2 linked regions of the Styela clava genome follow. The protein of the gene in region 2 binds, or shares a complex with, the protein of the main gene of each other region. Links are inferred from orthologs where the notes say so. Each region holds a gene or a part of one and is shown on either strand. Other genes may lie near its edges.

What was found.
Region 1: the proteins of dihydrolipoyl dehydrogenase, mitochondrial-like (region 2) and lipoamide acyltransferase component of branched-chain alpha-keto acid dehydrogenase complex, mitochondrial-like are in contact, whole or in part, in a crystal structure (PDB 3RNM), measured with the Homo sapiens proteins. The link is inferred for Styela clava from reciprocal best matches to the Homo sapiens genes DLD and DBT. Residues at the interface, in NP_000099.2 of Homo sapiens: Ser446, Thr447, Asp448, Arg449, Glu472, Tyr473, Gly474, Ser476, Glu478, Asp479, Arg482; in NP_001909.4 of Homo sapiens: Thr174, Pro175, Ala176, Lys196, Arg199, Leu201, Lys202, Glu203, Leu206.

Annotation. Positions count from the first base shown.
Region 1 is NC_135260.1:16,251,401-16,255,157, reverse strand, and holds the start of lipoamide acyltransferase component of branched-chain alpha-keto acid dehydrogenase complex, mitochondrial-like, read right to left. Parts: upstream 2,279-3,757; 5' UTR 2,176-2,278; coding exon 1,894-2,175; intron 1,441-1,893; coding exon 1,281-1,440; intron 813-1,280; coding exon 685-812; intron 19-684; coding exon 1-18. UniProt on the Homo sapiens protein: The branched-chain alpha-keto dehydrogenase complex catalyzes the overall conversion of alpha-keto acids to acyl-CoA and CO(2).
Region 2 is NC_135252.1:10,600,103-10,603,859, reverse strand, and holds dihydrolipoyl dehydrogenase, mitochondrial-like, read right to left. Parts: upstream 2,582-3,757; 5' UTR 2,578-2,581; coding exon 1,063-2,577; 3' UTR 359-1,062; downstream 1-358. Other genes in the region: uncharacterized protein LOC120343183, read right to left, coding at 133-267. UniProt on the Homo sapiens protein: Lipoamide dehydrogenase is a component of the glycine cleavage system as well as an E3 component of three alpha-ketoacid dehydrogenase complexes (pyruvate-, alpha-ketoglutarate-, and branched-chain amino acid-dehydrogenase complex).

The DNA.
Region 1 (3,757 bases), on a different chromosome or scaffold from region 2:
ACCATCAGGTCCAGAACCCTGAAATATTAAAAATTATTCATTTACAAATAAAAATTCCTCTTATTACTGTATAATAGATGAATATAATGTAGTTTATTTCACATTAGCAGTCAGGTATATTCAGGCAAGAGCTATATTTTAAGATTATAATATCATTATGACTAAAGTATATAACCTGATACAATATACATAAGTCGAAAAACAAGATTCGAACTGCATTAGGTTGTAAAAGCAGCTTGTTGTTATTAATAATAATGCCAAAAAGATAACTTTCTTAGGGTACTGAACGTTACAATACATTTCATTGCATGATTTAACTGTTTTGTTCTTTCCTCAGATTGTGTTCCACTTAGATTGCTTAATTTGGTTGGCCTTGTACTATATTTATTACTTCATGTCAATTGATTTAAATAGGTACTGTGAAAAAGTAGTATGTTAAATAAACCAGCATACTGTAATGATTATAAATAAACACATCAAAAGCAGGATAAACTGACTGCTGGAAAATTTTTTAGTGATCTCCTCCATTTAAACTACATAATTGACAGGTTGAGAAAAAAGTGACTTCAGTCGAAAAGTCTAATAGATATAATCCTGGTTTTGAGCAATATTCGATGATACATCTGAGTTGCGAATTAACATACCATAATTAAAAAACTTTTCACCGTGAAATAAAACACGTACCTGTATTGTAGATATGTCTAAACTGTTCTTCTTTGCAAGACTTCTGACAGCAGGGGATGCAAGCGCTTTCTTTGTAATTAAATTTATATTTTCTTCATCATCTCTATCAACAATAACTTTTTCTGATACTGAAATAATCAGTGCAGAAATTTATGTAAACAACACAATATGAACTTGGATAAACCAAATAAATCACAAAATACTTCTGACTTGAAATATGCTCCAATGCCAATTTGACCCAACAATCTTATATAGAAGCAACAAAAATAAAAAAAGCCACTCGGTTATGAACATTCATCGGTAATCATAATTTGCAAACACAACAAAGCAAACCCAAATTCCAGATTAGGTGTGACACATGGAAAGGAAATGAAGATTTGTGTTTGGAGTAGCCTCACAACGATTGTGGAAATCATTATGAATATCAGAAATATAAATACTGAAAAATAATTCTTGGATATAGACAAACCTCAAAAAAAATAATTATTTGAAACAGCTTCCTAACTTGGTTTGTAAGTGAAATAAATTAATAGATCAAGCAATCTTTGTCTGGGTTATGAGAATGACTGTAAATGATTTTATGACTGTTTAAATACCTTCTTCTTCATCTTGGTTATCATCATCTGATGATCCAGAAGTCTCAATATCAACGAGGGCTTGCCCAACTAATACTATATCGTCAACTTCATGATGGAGTTTTTTGATAACGCCATCAAATCTGCTGGTAATCGTCACTGAAGCTTTATCACTCTTCACCTTAGAAACGAAATAAATAAATTGTTAAAATTGCAGCTATATAGCCTATAGAATCTTCGTTGTTTAGTGAGTAATAAACAAATTTTAGATCCATGGTTATCGACCTTTTTTTTGCACATTTCAGTTATCAATATATGTATTCTTACCTATACTTCAAAACATTCTAGATCAGATCAAAGAGCTGAACATATCAGTCTCATTTATGCCAATACCGAAAAAATGTCCGATATATCGGTAGCCTACATCTTCAATTCTTCCGGGTCTGGTATAGTACCACAAGTACTTCCAGTGGGGTGGTTCGATAATTTTTGCATATTTCACTCTTACTAGGCACACTTTATTACTGTATTATAAGCTGTAAGACGAATCAGTGTAAATTTATCAAATTAATGAAGTGTAAAAATATATGCATCAAGTAGGCATATTCAGCTGAAGTTATTATAAAAGCATCACCTCACAAATGCTGTCAAATTGAGCAACTTCATCTCCTTCTTGAACAAACCATTCTGTTAGTTCAACTTCTTTTATTCCTTCACCAATATCGGATAAATTGAATGAAACGACAGGCATCCATGAGTTTCGACTGTTATGAAAATGTCTGACGAACAGTATTTTAGATTTTATCTGACTACACTGTTGCAGTGTCCGCACATTGCAAGATTTGCGAAGGAAGTCTACCTTTTTGCATCTGGCAGTATGAAAAAATCGCCTCGCGAAGATCCTTGATTTAATCATAATACATTACCGTTCATAAATAATACCTTTTAAAATTTGTTATTCTTATGTGAGCCAAACTATGAAAAAGTGTTTAGAATCTGAAATCACAAGAAAATATATTTAAACTTTCCTCAGTTTTCATTTTCTTTTCAAAACAAACGCTTTTCCCAAATGCTTCTTTACTTCAGAACAAACTAGGCTATTTGAAATACACTGGCAGACTGGTACTGTACCGCACCAGAGCTGTTATTCTAACAACCGAAAAGACATCAGATCATTCGTAGCAATAAAAACAGGATGAACGTCAAGTCTGACCCTACAGCCCTAGTGGCTTCGCTTTTCAAGGTTAGTACGGTAATGGCATTCATTGCAGCATCTGTAGGGTGACCCAACACAGCAACAAGGATAGGATTTGCAAGGATGCCACAAGCCAAATGTGACCCAACCAATGTTTGAAAGCGATGAAGGCCATATGCATACACAGCTGGTTAATATTTTCAACAATACAAGATGATTAACAAGTGAATATAATTGATTTAGGCCTGCGGCTGATGTACACCGGTATGCGATGTATACCAAAGCCTATATATACGAGCGTGACGAGTGTACAACGTATGCCTACTTCGTTGGGCATACAATCCTGCCCGATACCGGCAGGTGCGGTACTTTTCGTACAGAGAGGCCTGATATTTTAGAGATAATATTTTAATAATGTTTATTGGTACTGCGTGATCCAAGTTTATCAATGTCGGGGGTCACAAAATTATTTTCGCATTGTTCTCGAGCCACATTAGTGCCAAGAATAGATAAACGGCACACAATGGACCTTTCCCGAGCATTCCTTGTTTCTGTATTCTAATGTCACTTCGTGACATTGGCTAATCAACAAGATGCAAAAAGTGAGATATAAATATTAATTTGAGTCAGAGCAGAAAATTCGTGCTCACAGAGCCATGGAGATGCAAATGGCTAGATTATTTTTATGGATTTTGCACAGATGATTAAATAGAATTTGTAAGCAGATAGCCAAAACTTACTTTTCTGTTAGCCTAAACTAAATTAAGCACTAGTCAATTCAGCGCGGTCACGCTGCTCGATAACCATCTCTGGTTTATCGCGTCTCCTTTCACAATGAAATGCGATTTTTTATTTTTCTTAATTTTGTTCGTCAATGTTTACATTCGGTAAAAATAAACTACTGACTGACTGAAGGTGGACGGCTTGATTACAAATACAATATGACATACAATTATAACGTGGTGGTGGTTCACGTAACCGCTGGTCGGTTACGGCTTCCTCCACCACCAAGTCCATGCTCCCGAAAACAAACAATACAGTAAAACTAATCCCATACCCGACTTGGAATGGTAACCGGACGAGAGGCCGTGGTTCGCCATATGGATAAGCCGTCTTATCGGCTTTCCTCTCCCCCGGGATAAATATGTAAATCCTATCCTATCACTCTTACAACAACGGCAAGGCAAATGCAATGGACCTTTCCCCGAGCATGGACTTCCTTGTTTACTTCGTGACATTGGCCAATCAGCAAGATGCAAAAAGTGACGTAACAATGCCCCCTTTTCGCATCCGCTCTGACACT
Region 2 (3,757 bases):
AACTGTCAACATAGTCTTCAATGCTATAAAATTAAAATAACATCTACTTCACAGAACTGGCACTAAAAGTAAAAAAACTAAAATTAATGAAACAAAAAAGTAGTTTTTTAAACTGAACATTTCGCAACCCACCTCATCAACATCAATGTCCACAGATTCCCAGCATCCATAATCTGTAAATGCTTGTTGATTGTGTTTACTGTAACCACGAGTGTGAGTTGGAAATACAAAACTAGGATATTCACACATTTTTTCAAAATATTTCATCTGATCCCACGACTGCTTTTCCCATTATTGTGTATGGTTGCACTTGCATTCATGGTGACTTCACAATTATTGAATTAAAACAGCTAAAACACTAAATTTATGAATAATATGCATTTTTAACATAAAGAAAAAATAACTCTCGAATCGCAATGAAAAGACTGAAGATGACAAAAAACTGGAGGAAATGGAAACTCTTTATAACAGACCATCAATATGCATTTATTTTATTACCTGGCCAGATACAGAGATATGAAATTCTTGATTTAAACTAATTCAGCATCTCGCATCTTGCCAAGAATGGGCATGAAAACCATTCCCGGAAAAAATTTAACCAATATGCAAGATTGATAACATTGTGGAATGAAAACAAAAGAAATATTTTCGCACAAGTCCAGGGCACAAAGAATTGCAAATGAGAAATTTAAACAAGTGTGCGAGAAGAACAGCAGTCTAACTCCTTTTTTTGTAATGTTCGTTCATTACTTGAGGATCATTTCATATCATCGTGGCAATACCCATTAGAGAATAATACACAGTTGCAATAATGAAATGCTGTCATAAACAAAGACCAAAGTTTTCATATTAGTCATCTTAATAATTCCATATCTGGTGAAAACAAAGTATAAATGACTCAAAGAATAAATTGAATCAATTTATTACATAGCCATATTGTTGCCTATCCCATACCCTACATTGTGTATTTATCATTAAATATTCAACCTGTTTGTAAGAGTGAACTCATTGCATTATTTAAATATTTATATAAAGCCAAAAATATTTCCAAATAGATAGACATTAAAATGAATTGATTGGTTTGCCAAAATATGCAGCCAAGTTCGCTTCTCTAAAAGCTTCCGACAGTGTTGGATGAGCATGACAAACTCTTGCAACATCTTCAGATGAAGCTCCATATTCCATCGCAAGAACGGCTTCATTGATCATTTCGCCAGCACCTCCACCAATGATATGAGCTCCCAATATTCTGTCGGTCTCTTTGTGACTGAGAATTTTTACAAATCCATCAGTGTCAGCATTTGTCTTTGCTCGGCTATTAGCTGCGAAAGGAAATTTACCAACTTTGTAAGGAATATTTGCCTCCTTTAAATCTTCTTCAGTTTTGCCAACCCATCCAACTTCTGGGTGAGTATAAATAACAGAAGGCACACAATTGTAGTCAATATGGACTGGTGCACCAGTTAAACCTTCTACACATATAATACCTTCATCCTCAGCCTTATGGGCAAGCATAGGACCTGGAATGCAATCACCGATGGCATATATACCTGGACAGCTTGTTTGGAACCTTTCATCAACAGAGATGATTCCTTGTTTGTTTGCTGTTATTCCAACATTTTCTAATCCCAGTCCCTGTGTATATGGTCTACGACCGATACAAACAAGCAGAACATCACATTCTAATGTTTCTGGTTTACCTCCGGCTGCAGCCTCAACATTAACTTTGATACAAGAGTCTGTTTTATCAGCAGATATCACTTTCGTATTGAGTTTAAAATTCATTCCTTGTTTCTTTAAAGTACGTTGAAACGTTTTCGAAACATCCATGTCGATACCCATTCCCCCAACATGTCCAAGAAATTCTATCGCAGTTACTTCAGAACCTAATCTTGACCAGACAGATCCTAGCTCAACACCGATTACTCCAGCACCAATAAGAATCAATCTTTTTGGAATCGCTTTCAAGCTTAGAGCACCGGTTGATGAAATAATCCTTTCTTCATCAACTTCAATACCGGGGAATGGTGTAACTTCAGAGCCAGTAGCAATTAATATATTTTTTGTATTGATAACTTCACTATTTCCTTCTTCATTTGTAGCTATCACCTGTGTTGGACTTTTAATCATACCATGACCACGAACATGCGTAACTTTATTGAACTTGAATAATCCAGCAACACCATCGGTGAGACCCTTTACAGCAGATGATTTTTGTCCCATCATTTTTTCCAGATTAACAGAAACATTGGAAACTTCAATCCCCCTGGATTCAAAATCTTTTCCATGTGCAAGATGGTACAAATGAGAATTATTTAGAAGAGCTTTCGATGGTATACACCCAACATTCAAACATGTCCCACCTAGGGTTGGACTCTTTTCTACGCAAACAGTTTTCATTCCTAGCTGGGCAGCTTTGATAGCAGCGACATAACCGCCTGGTCCAGATCCTATCACTGTCAAATCGGCATCATGAGTGGCCGTTGCATTTGTCCTGGCATTCAAGCAATTGAAACCAAGTGAGGAACCTTTCGAAAGTCTACGAGCTAATGCAGAATTCAGTTTTAAATTGAACATTTTGGCTTAAATATAAACAATAAATTAGATTACTAAATAAGTACAGCATAAAAATCTGCAAAAAAGGACAATTCAAATGCAGAAATAATTAAATCTGTGTCATTTATAATTAGCCATTTATATCAGAAAGAAGTTTGTGAAGTTAAAACACAGGACCTATCAAATCAAAGCAGCCGCTGGCACAAATTTGCCACCACTGAATGTAAATACTAATTCAATTTTGTACAATACAGCCTTCAAAAATATCTTCAGAGCAATAGGAAAGTTTTCCAAGTTTCACATTTTACACAATGAATTGACAAATAGGGCATAAGATACAAAAAGTGGAAAAATTTTCTGCCACAACAGGCTATTTATAAATGAAAATAAAGTGACCAATATTACAAGTTTACAAAATTTGAAAAAACAATCGACAATTGAAAAGATGTTTTTATATTTTGGAAAATCCAAATCTAAGTTATGCAGTTGAAATTTTGCATTTTCAGAAAGATCAGGATTTATAATAAATTTCTCACAAAAATTTGCCGATATCATGATTTGATGAACAATGGCAAAATTCAGCACATTCAACAAGAAAATGAATTACAGAGAACTCAAACTCGTATGAGCATATTTATGTGGAAAAAATGCCGAAGTAGCTGCATTTATAAACCAGAGAAAACAAGAAGAAAACAATCAAAAAGAAGAATGTTATAATAAAAAAAGAACAACTGGGTAAACAAACAAGTATTCGACACATAAGTATGTATTTCTGCTTTCGTTTCAGTGAACAAATAAGATCTCAAAACAATGTATCTATATCTATTCAATCTATATTGAATCACGAACCACACAACATAATTAGAAATATCTCAATTTCAGAAAAGTTTTTCAGCAGGTCAATAATATGACAGAATTTAATAAATATACACAAATTTTCTAAATACTACTTTCGCTTAAGAATAGTTGTTTAAAATGAAATTTTAAAGTTTTTGGGAAGCCAAATATAAAGCATCTCAACATAATAATAAAGTGAATGAAATAATGTACATAGGAAAATGAAGACAACACCAACATATATCATAGCTTCTCATAAAGTCAGAAATTCATTCTCAAGGGGATACCACAAATTATAACCATAAAGATTCCTGATGCAAATACATTAAACATTGCCATTTGCGGTAATTAGAAAACTCACTCA